Struthio camelus: one gene and its partner. The protein of the gene in region 1 interacts with the protein of each later gene in a biochemical or structural test. Links are inferred from orthologs where the notes say so. Each region holds a gene or a part of one and is shown in the gene's direction. Other genes may lie near its edges.

What was found.
Region 2: the proteins of RRM1 (region 1) and RRM2 form a complex in vitro, tested with the Homo sapiens proteins (3 studies listed by BioGRID and IntAct). The link is inferred for Struthio camelus from reciprocal best matches to the Homo sapiens genes RRM1 and RRM2.

The regions. Positions count from the first base shown.
Region 1 is NC_090942.1:224,376,201-224,386,653, forward strand, and holds the start of RRM1 (ribonucleoside-diphosphate reductase large subunit), read left to right. Parts: upstream 1-6,620; 5' UTR 6,621-7,037; coding exon 7,038-7,056; intron 7,057-8,012; coding exon 8,013-8,101; intron 8,102-9,831; coding exon 9,832-10,009; intron 10,010-10,453. Other genes in the region: sodium-dependent proline transporter-like, read right to left, coding at 432-615, 2,952-3,017. UniProt on the Homo sapiens protein: Provides the precursors necessary for DNA synthesis. Catalyzes the biosynthesis of deoxyribonucleotides from the corresponding ribonucleotides.
Region 2 is NC_090944.1:24,609,374-24,619,205, reverse strand, and holds the start of RRM2 (ribonucleoside-diphosphate reductase subunit M2), read left to right. Parts: upstream 1-5,985; 5' UTR 5,986-6,219; coding exon 6,220-6,312; intron 6,313-6,395; coding exon 6,396-6,473; intron 6,474-6,639; coding exon 6,640-6,771; intron 6,772-7,048; coding exon 7,049-7,165; intron 7,166-7,687; coding exon 7,688-7,821; intron 7,822-8,977; coding exon 8,978-9,072; intron 9,073-9,832. UniProt on the Homo sapiens protein: Provides the precursors necessary for DNA synthesis. Catalyzes the biosynthesis of deoxyribonucleotides from the corresponding ribonucleotides. Inhibits Wnt signaling.

The DNA.
Region 1 (10,453 bases):
CCGGCAGTGACCTCCAGCGGCCGCGGCACCCGTCGCCGCACCCGTGCGCCCCGAAAACTCCCCCTTCCTGACCCAGCCACCGCTGGGGCTGCCGGCAGCACCGGGGGGAGGCGGCGGGAGCGCGGACACGCGTGGGCTGCCCGCAGCCCCCTTCCCCCAGCCCCTTCCCCCCCCCCCGCCTGAAGCACCCCGCACCCCGCCGCCAGCCCTGCCCCGGGGGCAAAATCCCTTTCCCCGGCTTACGGGAAGGGCCGAGCCCGGCCCCAGCCCCTCTCACCTCCGGCCCCGGGGTGGGGGGGGAGCGGGATGGGGCAAGGGTGCACGCGTGTGCGTGGGTCGGGGTGTGCTGCAATAACCCCCTGGCGCTTTGCACGGGCCCCCGGGGCCGGGCAGGGGCTGCGAGCGCGGGCGGCCGTGCCGGGCGGACTCACCCCCTCCGTTGCGGTAGCACAGGTAGGGGAAGCGCCAGACGTTGCCCAGCCCCACGCAGTAGCCCAGGCAGGACAGCAGGAACTCGTGCTTGCCGGCCCAGGTGGCCCGCGGCGGGCCGGGGGCCGGGGCCGAGCCGGGGGGCTGCGCCGGGGGTCCCGGGCTCTCCGCCTGGAAGATGTTCACCTGCGCGGGCAGGAGAGGTGTCAGCCGGCCCCCGCCGCCCTCCTCCTCCTCCTCCTCCTCCTCTCCAAAGGAGCCTGGCCTCAGCTGAGCTCCGCCGTCTCCTGCTGCAGCCCTGCGGTTGGGCTACCCCCTGCCCTCCACCTCTGCTCTCACTAAGGACAGTCCCTTGGGCCACCCCGAGCAGAGCAACGTTCCCCAAAGCGATGGGACACATCGCTTAGGCTCCTTCCACCCGCCCTGCTGCCTCTCACTGCAGCCTCAGCCAACGCTCCTGCGGTCCTTGACCGCGGATGGGTCCTGTTTCCCGACACAGAGAAGCACCCGCGTGTGATGGGCTGGGGCTCATGTGCTCTGCAAGGAGTCTGTGGGCCACAGACAGGCCCAGGGCGCAGGGATGTCTGCTCGTGTGCAAAGTCCGCAGGTGGAGCACAGCTTCCTCCAGGGACCTGATCCAAGGGGATGTCAGCCTAGGCGTGCCAGCACCTGGGTGCGCTTGCTTCCTCCAGAAGTCAAAGAGAGCCTCAAAATGCTCCTTCCAGATAAGATACCAGAAATCAATCTGGATTACCTGCAGGTCATTGAAACGAACTGCAGATTAGCTGTGCCACGGGTACTGGCTCACCATGGGCTCTGCCTCGCAGCTGGCACTGTATCAAAGCTATTTGGCCACCAGGAAGCCTGGTACAAAGATGCCAGGTGCATTTACAAGAGGCAGCCCGGGCACAGCAAGTGTCAGCGCAGACCTAGCAAGTCCTGATGGACCCGGCCGGCTGCGCAACGGCTGCCCCATGCTCCAAGCACAGATTGCAGTCCCCCAGCCTCTGGTGCTTCCCGCTGTCCTGGTCCCACACTGCCCAGAGGCGCTCAAGGACCCTCTGGGCAAGTCTCCTGGCCCAAGAGACCACTCTTGCCCTTCTCCTGCAGGGCTGCTGTGAGGTACCTTGTTCACACACCCAAAGCAGCCAGGAGACCTAGGAGCCTCCAGATGGGAGCCTGCAAAGGCAGGTAGCACATTTATCGCTTCAGCTGAGCCCTCCTGCCGTCACCCGCTACCAGTCATGTTTCAGAGGACTGCAGCTGCTTAAAATCTGCAAATGCAAATACCCTGAACACCACATCTGGTCTACCTGCTGGGTCAGCGGGATCTGCTCCCAGCGCCCCTGCCCACAGCAAATGCTGGCAGATGCAACCAGGTCTCAGGAGGGAGATGCAGGATGGGGCCGAGGAAGAGCGAGCGGCCGCAGCGCTCGGCAGCCTTCGGCACAGCCTGGAGCCCGGCCGTGCTCGCGGCAGCGTGAGCGCCCCAGCCCCACCACTCGCTGTCGGCTCACCGCGGGCAAGCGGGGAGGCAAGGCAGACCAAGGCAAGGGCTTCAGCCCAGCTGGTGGCAGCCCAGAGGGGCTTACGGTGGTGCCCGGAGGAGAACCGTGGTGGCTTGGCAGCGTGTCGCGGCGAGCTGCCCAGGAGGCAGCACACGGACAGCGTGATGGGGCAGCCTTGAAAGACCCAACCCGCAGGCGATGGGAGCTGGCGGTGTGGGTTGGCCGTGCCATCAGAGGCAGAAAAGCCTCCTGAGGCTGCTGTCCCGAGTGGTGGCAGGGAAAGCACCCCTCGCAGGGCGTCATCCTGGGCCATCTGCTCTGCTCTGGCCGTTCCCCACAAGGGAAGTCAGCGGCACGGGCTGGGAAGGCAGCAGACCGCACGTGCACCCAACAGACCCCCTTTGCTCCTGGCCTCCCCGGCCCCGCGCAGCTTGCAGACAGGCGACCTGCAGCGTGAGCCGTCGGGCTGCCTCCCCAACAGAAGGGGAAGCGGCGGGGTCATGCCAGCCCCTTGCAGCGATGCTCTGGCCTCTGCAAAGCATCGCCCCCAGCCGCCCTCGGCGTGAGCCCCGCGCCGCCCGCCCAAACCCCCGGGATGCAGGGCCACCCCCAGGCGGGGGGCACCGCGCTCTGCCCCGTGCCCAGGCTCCGGCCGCTTGCTGAAATCCCAGCAGCTCTGCCAGACTGCAGCCCCGGGGGTCTCCGCAAGGAGACCTCTACCCGGCCGCGATGGGGAAAGGGCACTTTGACCTTTGCACTGCCACACGGCGGTGGAGTTGCAAGGGCAGCGGAGCCAGACGGAGACCCGCAGCCTCGCCATCCCCTCGGCGCCTGGGCTGCCAGCGCCCAAGGCACCAAGTGCCGCAGCGAGCCCCGCGGTTCCCAGTTCTGCTCCCCGCGTAATCGGGGCTGGGCAGGGAGACCCGCACGCTGCAGCGCCCGGCGCCAGGGACGGGGGCACCTGCAGCCCCGGCGCTGCCGGGCAGGGGCGTCCCGGCGGGGGCCCCGTCCTACCGTGGGCTCCGGCGGTGCGGCGGGGGCCGGGAGCCCCGGCGCGGCGAGGCGGCCGGTGCACGGCATTTCCTGCTCGGCGGGCCGGAGGGCCGGCGCTCGGCTCACCTGCGCCAGGTGCAGCTCCGCCCCGGGCCACGGTCCCCGGGAGCCCCAGCCTGCACCACCCCCTGCAAACCCTCTGTCCCACCGGGGTTGGCAGCCGGGAGGGACCGGAGGCATCACCCCCCCCCTCCCGCCCAGTACGAGTTTCGGCGCCGGGGCTGGGGTCGGACGGGACCCCCGGGCTCGCTCGGTGCCGGGTGTGCACTGGGGAGGCCCCGCTCAGCACCAAGCCTCTGCTGGGACGTGGTTTTCCTGCCGGGCTCTCGGCGAGGCCGGGGCTGTCCCACGCGGCAGCGAGCGCCGTGGTGCCGTCCCCAGCTGGCCAGCCCCAGCCTGCTGCAGGAGGGAGCCGACGGCGCCAGTCTCCCGCCCCAGCAGGTCTGGGGACGCGAGGAAGGGGAGCTCGGTGCAGAGGGACACGGAGGAGCGATACGGGATAGGAGCAGTCCGCTGTCCCCTCCAAGCTGCCAGGTGGAAGGAAGGAGCAATTTGAGAAACGGCTCCATCTCCCTTTCCATGTCAGCCTGGATGGGTGCAACCCCAAAGACACCCCTTACTGTCACCCTATTCTCCCTTACACCAGTCTGTGCTCTCCTGGCCTGTTTGCTGGAAAACTGGCCAGCTGCGCAAGGAGCAGAAATAGCGGTGCTGGTTTTCTGGGAGACCGACTGCTGCTGCCTTTGCACAGGCTCAGCCTCGGCAGTAGCAGCAGCTGCTGAAAGAGAGCTCGACTTAAAACTGTGATCCATCCAGGAGTGAGTCAGTATTTCTACCAGCCATTGACCTGTCTTCTGCTCTTAACGTTTCCACCTCCTTTCCGCTGCGTCTTCCAGGGAACGCACACCACCTTCTGTGTGTCCCTCAATATTGCGTGCGGGTTTTTTTTTGTGATTGATGCGCTGGTCCTGCCTCTCTTTGGCCATTTCCATGACACTGCATCTGGAGCCAGCTGTTCCTAATCTCTGAGCGGAGCAGGTTCCTCGGCAGCGGGAAGGATCCCTTCCACCGGGACTATCCCCCGCCACCGCAGTAGGGAAGGGAGAGCGGAGAACGGGGCAGATTTCTAATCTGGACTAAGCAGAAACATTATTTTCAGTACAAAACACTTCTGCAGAGTGGGATTGGGTCTTGACTTGCCCATTTTTCCGCTCAGCTCGTGACTCCCTCGGAAAGGCTATAAACTCATGTCTCTGGGCGGGGGGGGGAGGTGACTGCGATTGAATCTAACTCAGGAGGAAAAGGAAGCTCATCATGGGAGAAAACCAAAGGAAGAAAGAGACACGCCACGTGGTGACTGCGGTTGCCTCCACCTCACGCCATCTGCCAGAGCACAGTTGCGGTCCTGCGGCGGTGCAACGCCCTCGAGCTTACAACAGGGACTACCTTCAAATGAACAGCGTTTCTATGGATGTTTCTGGGTCAAGGAACTGAGCTAGAGTAAAAGTAATGCCACCCAAGAGAGGAGTGGAATGAAAGAGGCATGTTTAACGTGGATAATTTTGGTGGTCTTGCTTATGGCACAGCCTTGCAAACAGTTGTCCCAAGGCAAGTGAGGGAGCAATAATCAATCAGAGTTGGGAAATCAGTTTTCTCAGAACCCAGCACGGTGTACCACGACACACCAAACAAGCAAGAGGAGGAGGCTCTGTATTCTCTCCTTACAGACTAGATCCCCTTAGTTATCCCACAAAATGCTCAAAGCCTCCACTAGAGCCTAGAGGCATCCAGAGCCAGGGCCACAGAGCAGGGTGGGCTCCCTGTCCCTAGTAGGATTAAGACGCCTCCATGCAGCTAAGTCCATGACTCCAGGCCTCCACCTCACCCTCATGGTTTGCCTGCTTTGGCCAGTAACGTTTCTTAAGCCCCACAGCTCTGCACGTGCACCAGAACCGCTGGCACAGCCTGGCACTGCAGCGCTCTCAAGATCTTCGGGATACGTCTTCTGCAGGTCCCAGTCCAGCAGATGACCTCCGAACACACAACAGAAGCCAACAGGGGTGTGGAAAGCAGGAGATGGTCATCGGGAGAAGTGGAGAGAGCCTCCCTCCTGAGGACACGTACAGCCTGGCTGGGACAGGGCTCCTCGGGGGGTGGGGAGCACCAGGGTGACTCCCCTCATCCAGAGGGAAGACGCGAACTCGAGACTTGCGCAGCTTTGCTGCTTATGCAGTCAGCTCTGTAACCATCAGTATCACCAGTGGCTCTTTTAGAAACGAGGCCTGATGGGGTCTTGACTCGTCTTTTTGGAAAAGAGGCCTGTTGAAAGGGACGGCTTGGACGCCTTGGTCCAGAAGAGGGGCTGGCATCACCACGCCACACAGCACGTCGCTGTAGAGGAGCACATCGCAAACCTCCGCCGTTTCCAGCTGGCCTAGCCTCCCCGGTGCCCGCAGAGCAGGCCAAGCGCTGGGCTTGGGCTCAGGCTCCCCGTTCTCCCTCCATCCTCGGCACGACCTCGCGCGTCAGCGAGAGCTGGGAGCTGAGCGTCCCGCTGCACGTCCGCCCCCTCATCCCCGGCGCCGTAGACCCCCCTCTTCGTATCACATGCATTTAAGGCACTGAAACAAACCTGCCTTAGTTTGGAGCGCTGTTCTAGCCCAGAGGTAGTCTCCTAGCTGGGGAAGACTCAGGCCAGCGGGAGGCCCGGCCTTCCACATAATATATATAAAATATACATACACACACACACACACACATTTATCTATATATTTATAAAAAAATAAATATAAATATATATTATATGTAATATATATGATTATATAGATTATATATATATATAAAAATATATATATGCATTATAAAATATATATTTATTTATAAACAAATAAAAAAAGAGTGAAAAAGAGTGGTCCTAAAGCAAAACCTAGGAGAACTTGAGGGCAAAGAGCTGCGAGCGCAACTCAGAAGGCTCAAATAAACCACAATGCTGTTTTTTTTCTTCTTTTTTTTTTTTTAATCCTGTAGGGTCTTTTCCCATAACGCAGAAAAATGGCCCCAAAATGGACTGTCATTTCCTGCTCAGGTCCAGACGTTCCCGAGTCTCACCCTTGCCGAGGAGGGCACGGGGGGCCGTCAGCCCCTGCCACCGCGTCCGTCTCCCCGCGCCGGTAACCGCCCGTTTGGGGTCGGCGTCGGCGCGGGGCCAACCGACGTCCCCCGCAGCGCCCGTCTTTCCTCACGGGTCGTGCCACCATCACCTGAAACCTGGTGAGCTTTCCGGGGCGGCGCCCTGCCCGGGCAGGCCCGGGGCACCCGAGGGCACCACGTTGTCCCCTCCGGGCGGGCGCCGCTGCCAATCGGGGCGTTTCCCGCGTTTTGGGGGGAAAACGGCGGCTGCAGGACGCGGCGGTCGTCCATGTGCCGTTGTCCTCGCCCCGGCCCCTCACCGGCAAGGGCCTTCTGTGGGCAGAGAGGGGCTGTGCAGGCGCCCCTTGTTGGGAGAACCGCACTGAATGCTCTGCCTGGGCCTTGCTTTGGCATAATTAGCGTAATTGTTGTTATTACTACAACGGTAGTCTCGTTGTTGTAATTATTTTTTGCAAAACGGGGGTATTTTGTCCCTCCGGCGGCTCCGTACGTCGCGCCCTCGGGCTGGCGTAAACGGCCCGTTCTCGTCTCGCCGCCGCTCTCGAAGGAGAGGGTGGGAGGTCGGTCGCCATCTTGGAAGCGGGCAAACGACTCGGCTGCCGCTGCTAGGGTGGTGTTTTCCGGGAGGAGAGGGGGAAGGATGGGGATGTAGTTAAGGATGAGCCTCCGCGAAGGGGTTAGAGGCAGCGCGTGAAATCCCGGTGGTGAGGGAAGGAGCTGAAAAGGCGGCAGTGCCCGGAGCCAAGATGGCGGCGGCAGCGGCCTCAGCCGGGGGGGGCGGAGCGCTACGGCGGCGCGGCGGGGCCAGCGCAGTTGGCGGGAGCGGGAAGCGTTTAGTCCGCGCTTGGCGCCGAGGAGCCGTTGGAAAGCCCGCGCGCCGGGACGCCGACCGCCGCCATGCACGTCGTGAAGCGAGGTGGGGGCCGGGCGGCGGGGCTGGGGATGGCGCGGCCCGGGGGGCACCGCGGGGGGCAGCGTGGGGGTGACCCCTGTGGTGGAGGGGGGGGTCCCTGTGGAGGCAGCGGGGGGGTCGGGTGTGGGGTGACCCCTGTGGTGGGGGGGGGTCCCTGTGGAGGCAGTGGGGGGGCAGGGTGTGGGGTGACCCCTGTGGTGAGGGGGGTCCCTGTGGAGGCAGTGGGGGGGCAGGGTGTGGGGTGACCCCTATGGTGGGGGGGGGTCCCTGTGGAGGCAGTGGGGGGGCAGGGTGTGGGGTGACCCCTGTGGTGGGGGGGGGTCCCTGTCGAGGCAGCGGGGGGGCAGGGTGTGGGGTGACCCCTGTGGTGGGGTGGGGTTTCCTGTGGAGGCAGTGGGGGGGCAGGGTGTGGGGTGACCCCTGTGGTGAGGGGGGTCCCTGTGGAGGCAGTGGGGGGGGAGGGTGTGGGGTGACCCCTGTGGTGGGGGGGGTCCCTGTGGAGGCATCGGGGGGGAGGGTGTGGGGTGACCCCTGTGGTGGGGGGGGTCCCTGTGGAGGCAGCGGGGGGGCAGGGTGTGGGGTGACCCCTGTGGTGGGGGGGGGTTTCCTGTGGAGGCAGTGGGGTGCAGGCTGTGGGGTGACCCCTGTGGTGGGGGGGGGGTCCCTGTGGAGGGCAGGGTGTGGGGTGACCCCGTGGTGGGGGGATCCCTGTCCAGGCCATGGGGGCAGGGTGTGGGGTGACACCTCTGGTAGGGGGTTAGAGGGCTAGCCACCTTTTTTCCCTTCCTCTTGAGCCTGAACAGGAAACCTAAACGGGTAGTCCTTGGTGATTCCCGCCCTGACTTCCCGCAGAAGAGAGTTGGCTCCTTATTGTGTGATCTCCTGGGTAGAAGGATACTGTTTTTAACTGCTTCTTGGTGTAACGGGAGCTGTTGTGTTTGTAACTTCTTCCTCAACAGATGGACGCCAAGAGCGTGTCATGTTTGACAAGATCACGTCACGCATCCAGAAGCTATGCTATGGGCTCAATGCTGACTTTGTTGATCCAGTGAGTCTGTCCTCTCTCCTCTTTTCCTGTTCTCTACCCCTTGTGGTGATCTTTGCTAAAAGCCAATAGTTTTGAGCAGGTGCTATCCATTTTTTGCCTTCCTTTTAGCAAAGGGAAAGCTAAGCACGGCAGCCTGTGCAGGAACTGTTGGCAAATACATTGACTACTCTATTTTTCCATAATGTGTTTCTTCTAGCTGTTTGTGTTTTGGGGTTTTTCTTGCCTCACAAGTACAAAGTCTGAGACTGGGTTTGAGGGAGGTGATTATGCTTCTTGTACTTTGAGTTGTTTGTTGCTCCAGCTCGCATATTTTAGTTGATTGCTTTCTGTTTCAATTTGCAAAGCTAAACAATGCTGTATGGAAAATAAATCTTGGTCCTCTCTTAATAAAATGGAAAGGTGCCCTTTATCTGTGACGGAACTCCCCTGCCATTATATCCCTACTTTACTTTTCCGAGCTGTCTATGATTTTGGGTGCTTAGTAATCCCACCTCTACGAGCTTCTCCTTCCACAGCCTCGTGGATCCATTGACATCTGTGAGATTTTTACGCCGATGTGCAAAGCTAGTCTGTTCATTTGGAGTTGTCAACTTAGGCTCTTCACATCTCCAAGATCTTGTGATTTGTTTTCTTGTCTTCAATTACATCTGTAAAATATCTGACATTGATTCTGTACCAAAAAAGTAATGCTGAAATAGAGAGTATATTGACTTGATCTGAATGACAGAGGGAGTTGATGATGAGGACAGAAATAAAGTCCCTAGGCTTCCTGACTCTTTGTACCCTCATCTTAATAGCAAAGCTAATTTTACGTGAAGCAATGTATTTTTATTTATTCTGCGGGAGTGTGTGGGATATCTCTTCCTGGACTTGGATTTCTCCTTTTGGATTCAGAACTTCTCATGACAGATGATTTACAAGGAAATAACAAAAATTCTTAATCTGAATGCTTCCTTACAGAGAGTAAAGTTTGAAAATTACACGTGCTGGTTTCGTAAGGCTGTAGGCACTTCAAACGTATGTGGCGGTTACCGTGTTAGGTCAGACCTCTGTTCTTCAGTGTAGAATATCACTATTGTAGTGATATTGATCACTACAGTAGTGATCAGCACTAAATGCTGATTGTAGTGATCAGCACTAAATGCTTGAGAGAAAAGCAGAGAAGATTCTCGAAGCAGCAGATGCAGAAGTCTCTTCCCAGGAAAGGTCCCAATGGATAGATGAAGATGAGGTTAAGCCATGAAGCAAAATCCTTTTTGACTTGTCCAGGGTGGAGTTTTTTGCTCTTGTCATCATAAAATTTAAAGTATAACAGATTCCAAGTCTCATCAGGCATTTACAAAGTCAAGTTTTAAACTCATTTGGAGTTTTAAAACTTCCAGGCAAGTAAAGTTTTAATGTGACTTTTATTCCATGCACTTTGCTGCTACTTTATGCGAGCCTTTAGGAAAGTGTCTATGTTCAGAAAGTTCTTGGTGATTCTGTGTTGACAGTTTGTATTTTCTTCACTCTTTCCCTGCTGTCTTTCTGGCCCTACTATCTCTTGGTTTAAAAACTTTAGGAATCAGTACTTTATCAAGAGGATTTTGTATTTTAGTTTGCTTTGCTGTTCAGACAGAATGAAAGGTACCCCTTATAGCGAAGCATGTTTTATTTCTTTTAAATGGTTGAAAATTTTTTTTCTTTTTTTAAACAAAAGATTGCTAATCTGCAGAATTTTGCTGTTTCAGGCCCAGATCACCATGAAGGTAATTCAGGGGCTATACAGTGGTGTCACAACAGTGGAACTGGATACGCTGGCTGCTGAAACGGCTGCGACTCTGACTACCAAACACCCTGACTATGCTATCCTGGCAGCGAGAATTGCAGTGTCCAATTTGCACAAAGAAACTAAGAAAGTATTCAGTGGTAAGTCTGTCTGGGGGCGTGTGGAGAGCAGTTAGTCAGAAAGGGAGTAGGAGTTCTGGAGGATATAAATACGTAAAGCTCTTTATTAGCAGAAATTAAATACCTAGGCCAACTAAAAATGCCAAGGGAATGAAAAACATCAGTTTTATGCATGTCGCAAGGAAAATCAAATTGTTTTGCGAAAAATATCTGTATAAAAGAGACTGAAGAATGTAATTGATTGAAATTAGGATGCACCCACTTTCTTTTCACACTTTAAAAACAAAATCTCTAAACCTGTGAAAAGAGAATCAATTTGAAAAGCTTATTGCCTCTAAAGTGGAATTGCCTGCTGAACTTTGTTGGCTAGACAGAAATTCTCTAGCTGTCACCGAATGATGAATTCTATTAAAAAATATTCTAAGCAAAGTGCTTTTTCAAGGTCAGTAGAAAATAATAGCACTG
Region 2 (9,832 bases), on another chromosome or scaffold:
CGGGAAAGGCTGGCCTTTGTCATCAGGTAACCAGGCTGCAGGTTGCCTAATGACAGCGTTATGAACCCCGCAAATCAATGGGCTCCACTAGCCAATCTAATATTCAGCTAGAATCAAGCTAATATAGATTTTAGTTTTGTTCTGCTTTAGATTTCTCAGTGAAACAGTCCATTAAAGTGCCTCGCTCAAATAGGCACCGTGGAGGCCTGGCAACTTAGTTTTTAGAGAGTCCTCTCTTAAGTTATAAACCCTGCAGTGAGTGGAATGCAACTGCCCCTAAACAATGTGTTTACAGCTCTAGTTCAGGCAAAATTTTCATTCAAACTGTTGAACATTTGGTTTAAGTCCTTAAGGTTCAGAACAGTTCTGGAGAGATGTCAAGCATCCTTCTCTTCAACTGATTTGGGTGAGTTTATGAAAAAATGCTAAGGGTTAACTCCAAGCTTAGTGGCAAAACTGGTGGCCATTGAGACCACCCTGTGTCACCTTGGCAGTGTTGTCTCATGGCTTCCTCCTGTTGTCCTGTCTGTGCCCATCTGCTCTCTATCTCAGGTTATATTTAGAATATTTAGATATTTTTATGGCTGCATGTAGAACTCAGACTTTGGGATTTTCAAGTCTAAAGTGGGGGCTCTTCAGCATGATGCTTTATGAAAATAACAACTGTGTGGGCCTGAGCTGTGGGTGAGGATTTCAGGATTTGTCACTGATTAGTTTGGCTGGCTGAGGCCGTGCAAAATAATCATCTTCCCTGAACTGAGGGAAAAAATGAAACAAATACTGTGTCCTCAGCTAGTAATAAGCCTCTCCCATGCAGATATCTTCATCTACTTTAATCTGAATTAGGCCTGTTCCTGCAGTGATATAAGCCAGTTCACTACCTGGAAGTGACTGTTCATCCTGCAGGGGATCTGCAGTAAGACAGAAGAAAATGACCCTGACAGTTTTGCTGCGGAAGGCCCTGCCCTGCAGGACTGAGGAGCGTTACCCAATGCAGCCATGTCAGCCAGCTGAAAGCCAAAGCAGTGCCCATTAAGACGAAGCAGGTGTGTGACGGATAAGTGAGGTTTGTGGGCTGTAAGCTGTGCCTGGGTGGAAGGAGCTTTGCCAAGGTGTGCTTATGTGGGCAGGCACTGAGGATACTTACAACATTGGTAGTTAGGACCGAGGCCACTGGCAGATAGTCATAGCAGCTTCATTTTCTTGCCCAGCTCATGTCTTCACCTCTTCACAAATGTCAAGGGTATGAGAGCAGAGATTTCTCCCTTCTCTTCATATTCTATATAACTCAATGACTTCATTTCCTCTGCTACGGAAGGCAGCTTCTGGCTTTTTAAGGCTTAGACATGACTCTGGGAAGGAACCGTCCGTGGCAATGACAGGCTCAGCCTCCAGTCATGCAGTGCTGTAGGTGAAGGGCTGGTGTTGTTGGTGTTTGTTGGTGAAGGTTGTGGCAAAGCTTTTGGTGAAGGTTGTAGCAGATTAGGATGAGAAGAAATAGCAAATGTTAAGGAAGGGTGAGATGATGCAGTGTACTTGAGAAGCTGAATGGATGGCTGCTTCTTCCCCTGGTTTTCAGGACATTCAGGGAGAGCATCTCCTTTCTTTGCTTGCCTTTGCGAGCTTCATTTGTCTACTTCCTCTGGGTGCTTGGCTTAGGACCCAGCACCCGTGAATGTGTCCTGCCCTGAAGTGATAGAGTTTGACACTATCTGAAGAAACGTGTACAAGACAAACAAGTAGAAGGACTCACCCTATCTACTAGAGGTCCCTGCAGATAACCTGCAGATCCCCACCAGCACCGGGTTTGTCCTCCTGGTGACCACATACCCCATTCTTCCCCTGAATCTCACTCCACACCTTCCATGCAATGCTATGGATTATTTCTGTAAGAGAACAGGAATTGTACGTCTTGCACAAATGTTTAAAAGTGAAACAATCCCAGGTAAAACAGTTTTAACTGCAGGCCTAGAGGTTCTTTTCTTAGCAGTACTGGCACTCTGTGCAGAGGACACCCCTGGGCCCTTCACAGCAGTGTCCACACACATTACTTTGTACTCATGAAAGTGCTGGAGTAATTTACACTTTTCTCTCCAGTCTATATTAGTTTGAATTCATCAGCGTTGCGCTTTGTCTGCAGCTGATTAAACATGCCAGGGCCTGGTGGGTGCCAGGCTCATTCCTCTGGCTGAAACTCCCAGGTGCGCAGTCTGAAAGTGGACTTGCGGGAACAACTTGGTTATACAACGTCCCACACCTGCCTCTGTCTAGTTGCCCTTGGGCTGCTATTACTTTCACACTTCTGAGTATCTAAATTCCTATAAACAAAGAAGGTGTAAAACTAATTAGACTTTTTGGATTTTTTTTTTTTTTGAACACAACTCCACCCTGGGCCAAGCACTCTTCTAAACACCCAAAGAGTAGGTGCAAGCCAAATGGTGGGACACCCTCTGGTTTGATGGCAATTGCTAGCTTTTCAAAGCACAGTTTTGCTTTCCTACTGTTTTGACTCTGGCTCTGGCAAGAAGCTTGCTTGAAAATGCTGATCCTGAAATGCAGTTGCATCATGGAGAAGGATGTGATGGGGAGGCTGAGCTCCTCATTCTTGCTTTCCTCCATGATACTCTCTAATAGTATGTATACAACCATATATTGCACCTGGTGTGTAAACCTTATGCAGCTGACTTCCCCTCTGCAGTGAAGCCTGTTAGGATCCACAAGTCTTATTCTGAGAAGAATGGATGTAAACGGATTACGCTGTTGTAATGAGAGAATTGAGCGTGGCCATTCATTCCTGAATATCAGTAAGCTGCATCTATAGCAACACACAGTGCAATGTTCTTCCTTGCAGCCTGTTTGACATCTCTGAGCCCTTCCAGGCATTTTTTTCCTGCGGAGCCATCTTTCACAGTGTAGGGCTCTGCTCCTGTGCCATTGACTTCTGAGAGTAGTTGCTGGAGTTGCAATGATAGCACAGGAGTTACATCATGACAGTCTGCATAGGTGGCCTGGGGCTTGTGGACTGGTAGCTTTGGGTCCCTTTATTTGGGAGGGTGGATGAAGTAATTTGGCAGGGGCAGGGAAAGAGCTGCGGTAGCTATCTGCTAACCCCTCCCCAGCAGCAGATGGTGGCAGGGCAGGGTGGAGTGGTGTGCAGTGCAGAGGTGGCAGGAGATAGTCGGGCTCCGTATGGGCTCTATGAAGCATTTTGGAGCTGTCTGGCATTCCTTCCCCCAGAAACCCGCTTTCCTGCGGCAGAACAGGAGGCTGTTCCTACACTGGCTGATGGATTTGGGTAGGTGGGTTTTTGTACCTGGCTTTGCACTGGGATGGCCAACAAATAGCCCACTCGGCTACCTCCTGCCTCCCCTCTGCTGGGGGTAACCAGTGCCTGGATGGGACAATAACACCTCTGCTATCTATGCACCATGTCTGTGCCATCAGAATAAACTGGAGCTAAATTCAGCGCTTATTCAGGGTAACTGGTTTTCTGGAATGGCTGGGGTTAAGAGGGGCTGCGATGTCCATGTTTTAGTGGGGTTTGGCTGCTGAAGCCTGGCCTCTTCTCTGAGAGGGTGAGGATCAAGGCCTGGAGCAAGAGCCACTGTCCTCAGACACAGACCTACCTGGGCAGGAACTGAAGATACTGCCTTAAACATTTCCCGAAGTCCCTGACTGGAAGCAAGCCAAAAAGCAAAAAGCATGAGGTATTGTTGCTGTTTTTGCCTTTCCTTGGCCCTCACTTGGCCTCTAGGCCAGAATCCACCTCTATCTGAGTATATATATCTGAGGCGCACCAAATGCCTGGTTGCTACAGGTGTCTAGGATAGCAGTGATGGTCTCATGGCTTCCTGTTCTGTCTGTGGCAGATGGCAGTCATGGCTTGTAGCATTTTATCTTAGATTGGAAGCTTATTTGAGGGGATGTGCTTTTGTGATGCTTTCTGTCCTGGGATTGCTATATACATATATATATATGTATTTAGCCCAGAAGGTCCCACAGAGCATCTCCCGGGTGGATGCCTGCAGTGAGTCCAGCGTCCTACATAGGACAAATACCACAGTTTGATGAAGGACTTATTCCGCTGGCCATTTCTGATATGCTCCCGCTGAGGAGAGTCAGACCCAAATTCAGTGATCTTGACGCAGTTTTGAAATGAGTAACACACTTGAACTCGCAGTGTTAGATGATGATGTCAGAAGGGAATACTCTTGGTTTTTGTCCAAATCTGCTCACTAAAGCAGTACACAGTATTGTCATATAGTCGAAAAGATGGTTTAAGGGGCTGCAGCGATGGGCAGGTCCCTGAATGTCCACTTTCTATCGGCTTCCCTGGGGGCCTGGTCGTCTGCTCCCCTCCTGCCTTACCTGCCTATTTTCTAGCCATGCCCTGGGCAGCACCGGGTCTCATAACTCATGGCCCCCGGTCCCAGTAGCAGGCTGGGCTTCTGTTTGGGTGACAGTGACTTCAGTGGCATCCCACACCACTGAAGAGCCTAAAAGTCCCAATAAGCTTCTAGTTTCATTAAAACTGAGGACATGCTTCAGTGAATCAGACCCGGCACAAGCCATATGCAGTGCTGCTGTAACGCCAGCAGTGCGAACCACCGGAGGAGGGCCTCTTGCTCTGGGGCTCCAAGGGAAGCAATCAGCCTAAAGCTGTGTTAGCAGCTTTTTGCTGCTCTTTGTGAGTTATGAAAACGTACTTTCTCTTTCTGTTGTCCCTGAGAAAACTTTTTGGTCCGTCTGCAGGTCCTCCCTCTGTGGAGTCAGGCTGCACTGACAACGTTCAAAGCTTCAGCAAGACACACACCTTTCCTGTCGTGGCTGGGACTGGCCTGGGGACACGTCACGGCCCGCTGCTATTTTCTTTCGTAATATCTGCAAGTTAGAGTGAGCTGGTGTGGGGAGGGAGGAAGAGGGAAATGCAGCTGCTGCTTAAATAAAAACGATTTCATTAGTGTCAAATAAATATTGACTTTTTAAAGCAGATGAATCTTCTTTCTTTTTCATTGCTATTTTCTTCCCTGCTTGTACTATTTATTTAAACCATATGAAACCGGGTGGCATATGGAGGCTGCTTCTCCATGAAAACAATTTCTGTCAAATGCAGCCATCCCTGTGGAGGGAAAGGGAAAATGTATCAGGATGGGGGAGGGATCAGAAGAGAGGGGGGAAGAGCAAGGCAGGGAGGGGGGAAACATGGCATTTCCAAAGCTCTACCTTAAAGCCAAAATCTGGAATTAAGTTACTCACTTCCCTATTACATCCCAAATCTTTCAAAGCCAGATACCATATTTAGGATCCACAGCCACGCTTCTCTTTAGAAGAGGTTATGCATACCACAAGTGATCAAGGCTGCGGGGTTTTTTTTTTAAATATATTTTTATGTACCCTTTATTCAGCTGTGAAATAACTGCTATGTTTTACATTAAATCCTGTGCCCCTAAACGCTCATCGGCGATAAATGGAGGCATTTACAGCTTTCCAGAAGATTAGCTCAAGCCTGGAGAAAGCAAAACCGAAGATCCTGTAGGGTTTATCCACACGGAGACATGCCCTGGTGCAATGTGCAGCAGTTTTATTAGCGTGAGGTGCCCCACTGACACCATTAATCTAGAATAAAGGTGGCTCTGAAGCCAAGCGACGCTGCTATAGACGTGCCCCTGTGAGCCCCAAGTGGGAAGCTACACCGGCATCAACCCGGCGCAGTAATTCAGCTGGAGAATTTCATCAGCTGCCAGGCCCTGTCGAGGCCAGGGCGCAGGGAAGCACGGCAGCAGGCCTCTCCCCCGAGGGCGACGGGGCGGGGCGGCCCCGGGGCGGCGGCGGCGGCGGCCACCAGCCCGCACCGCCGGCCGCGAGGCGGGTAACGGCTCCTCACAGCCCCGGGGCCCGGCCCCTCCCCCCGCGCAGCCCCCAAGGTGCGGGGGGCGGGGCAGGCGCCCGGGGGCGGGGCTCCCGCGCTCTCCCGCCTTTTTCCCCGCGGCGGGAGCGCCGGGGCGAAGGGCAGGTCCTCCTCTCCCGCCACGGCGACAATGGGAGGCTGGGCCCGCGCCGCGCCTGCAGCCAATGGGCGTGCGGGGGCGGGGGCGCCGCGCGCCCGGCTCGGGCTGTGAGTGGGCAGCCGGGCGTTCTGGCGCCAAGTTCGAAGGGGATATAAAGGGGCGGCGCCGGGCGGCGGTGCGTCCCGCGTTCCCGCCGTGAGCTGCTGACAGCATGCTGTCCTCCCGCGTCCCGCTCTCCGCCCGCCACGACCAGCCCCGCCTGTCGCCGCTGAAGAACCTGGCGCTGAGCGACAAGGAGAACACGGTGGGTTCCCCCCCCCCCTCCTGCCGCCCCCCGTCCGCGGTACCCCCAGCGCCGCACGGCTCTCACCGCCGCTCTCTCCGCAGCCCCCCGCCCTCAGCAGCACCCGCGTCCTGGCCAGCAAGGCGGCGCGCAAGATCTTCCAGGAGGCCGAGGGGAAGCCGGTGAGTGCGGGCCCCGGCGCGGGCTGCGCGTGGGGACCGACCCTCCCTCCCTCCCTTCCCCGCGGGCATCTCGCCGCCTCGGCGCCCCGTGGCCGAGCGGCGCCGCCGCCCCCGCTGGCCTCCCGCCGCGGCCCGGGGCTGAGGCCGAGCCGCTCTGTGCCCGCAGGTGCCGCGGGCCGCCGAGGAGGAGCCGCTGCTGCGGGACAACCCCCGCCGCTTTGTCATCTTCCCCATCCAGTACCACGACATCTGGCAGATGTACAAGAAGGCCGAGGCCTCCTTCTGGACTGCCGAGGAGGTGAGGGCTGGGGCTGTGCCGGGAGCCCCTGGGAGCTTCATCCCTGCTTCAAAGGCACTTCTCCTGCCATAATATTAATAATGAAGCTGGACAAGGTTACCTGATTTTTCCGTAGCCCTAAGGGGATTGTAACATCTCAAAACACTTCCCTAACATGCTGCTGAAAGTGCACCCTGCTTGCAGGGTAGCACCTCGGACTGTGGTACGAACACTTTACCTGAAGTGTCTGTTTCTCTTAGGAGCCCTTTATTGTTTCATTGCTTCCCTTGTGTTTCAGGTGGATCTTTCAAAGGATATCCAGCACTGGGAGTCGCTGAAGCCTGAGGAAAAATACTTCATTTCCCATGTCCTTGCCTTCTTTGCTGCCAGTGATGGCATTGTGAATGAGAACTTGGTGAGTGTGTAGAAAGGGCCCTGAAATAACCTATTCCATGAAATGAAGGTAACCAAATAACTACATATTTAATGAGGTACTTGCTGGCCTATCTAGCTTGTTTACCTGTGCTTAAAAACTTTAATATTGCCTTATGTTATTAAGTGAAGTGGGGGGGATGCTTTTTAAATTCAAGAGGCTGGCCGTTTTCCCCACAGAGCAGAAAGCACTGCCTTATAGTAACAACTAGCCTACTCAGAGCCCTTGCTCTGCTTCAGATCTGTCAGTGTTCCCTTAAGGGAGGCAAAGCCAATTTAAGATGTTCTTCTCTTCCTTTGGGGACCAAAGAACAACTTTACAGCTGCAAGTCTACTTAAGATGCTGGTGCTCTTAACGTTTCTGTTTAGAATCTAAACATGTGGATTTAGTTTGAAGATAATGTTATAGGCTAAGCAAATGTAGCTCCTCATAGAAAGCATCAATACCTTTAATATACAAGTTAGTGTTTGCAGAACCATTGATAATGAAGTTTTTTTCCTCTAGGTGGAGCGGTTCAGTCAAGAAGTACAGATCACAGAAGCCCGTTGTTTCTATGGCTTCCAGATTGCCATGGAAAATATACATTCGGAAATGTACAGTCTTCTTATTGACACATACATTAAAGATTCAAAAGAGAGGTTAGTATTGCTTGATAATGAAAGGTTCAAAACTGATAACTGAGGTTTACATGATGTGCATCATTCGTGTTTGTGACTTTAGTCTAACTTTAGGATTTGAATTAGATTAAAATATCACTGAAATGCTGCTTAAGATGGACTTTTAAATATCTTTCTGCTCCTAAATGTATGAGCAAGACTTCATCTAGGTTCAGAGTAAAAACAGATACTTAACATTGAAATAATGGAATGAGACTAAACATCTAACAGGTAACATGGTCAAATAAGGGCGTATGTTAAACCACAGTAAGCTCTGCTACGGAGGACCCACTCCGTTGGTAGGTAGCTATGTAGGGAAGTTTCTCTAAGGATAACAGCTTTTTAAATAAAATAGTCTCTAATACTCACTGTATCTAGTTAATGACTGATGCACTCGCCATATGCTGCTGTTAGAGACTTGACTATTTTTGACTTCTTTCTAAAATAATAAAGGCAAACTTCCTTTTTGACAGCTATATGTAGATAAAGCTGCATGCTTGAAAAAAAGAATAGTGATTAAAAGTATCACCAAAATGTAACTTTCCCATAACAAGGTGGATCAGTTCAATAATGGGATCTTCTTAAAACTCAGTGCAGGGCTTTGAGCAACTTGGGCTTTTTCGAGTTATTTTTGGAATGTCATGGGAGGCAAGCACCCTACTGGGGTAAAGTGTTACTGAAATGCTAGCTGCAGTGTAGAGGTACTTATTTAATTGCTGTTACTTTGCAGAAAGCTGACTAGCCACATCACTCTTTCCTACTTGTGGGTGCTTAATTGCTTTAAATTTTTAAGGAAGAATTGCTTATGTGAAAAGTTAGATGCCTTGTCACGGAAAAGTGGAGGTCAGCTGCTCTATAGTTTTGAGACTTGTTCAAGCATACTTCTTGAATCAGTACTCCATTTGGTTTTGTCATGGGAATTTGTGTGAATTCCTGTTGATGTAATGTGAAGGTCATGCAAAGGTAGATGAGCACAAATGCAGCTAGGTTTGGTACAAAATAAAATGGGAGGGGAGCTTAAATACTGAGGTGAAGGTACAGAGCCCTTGTAAGTGAATGAGGCCATCTACAGCTGTGAAGGCTTATTGTACTGGTTGCTTTGCTGAAATCTTGTCCTAATGAGTTATATGCTTCTCAGGGAATTTCTTTTTAATGCTATTGAGACGCTACCATGTGTTAAAAAGAAGGCTGACTGGGCCATGCGCTGGATTGGGGACAAGCAAGCAACATACGGTGAGTATGTTTTTTAGAAGCAAAGTGAAATTTCTTCCCTAAAAGAATGGAAGAACCGCTTTCCAGAACTTGTCCAGACTTCCTCACAGTTCACAGGGATTATTGTTGTCAGGGTATGAGTAAGCACTATCTAGAAAATGCTGGTATAATTCTGGAGATGAAAAAATCTTGTTTGTCTTGCCGATAAACTGATGATGCAAATCTCTAAAACTGCTAGTATTTTGACTAACGGTAGCTCCTGTGGCAATCTCTGTATGATCAAATTGCAACTGTTTCTTGTGTCATGAACTGCACTGGTCTCTGCTCTCTGGTAGACACATTCAGTTGGAGGCTATGGCTCATCTGCCTTACTGATTTTTGATGCCTTGCTTAAAAGGTGAAAATGAGATGGTAGAGAGTGCAGCGATTTCACTGCTATTAATGTTCCTCATGCACAAAGTTCTTCACTTGAGCAATGATGAGCAGTCACTGACTTTAATCTGACACTGAAGATGACTGTTCTTTGTTCAGTGTGTAATCTATGGGGGAAAAGGTGGTATGACATTTAACCTGGGGGAAGGAGTGCTGGCTTCAGCTGCCTACCACCTCCTCTAATTAGTTTTTACTTTGCTTTGCAGTTTAAAAAGTATTTTGCTTTGACAGAAGCCTTTACTATACCATTTCCAGGGACACACTATAGCACACTTGAGCAGCAGTGCTTTCATTCTGCTTGAAAGACTCAGTTCACTGGTCTATTCACAACTTTTGAGTTTTAATCCTG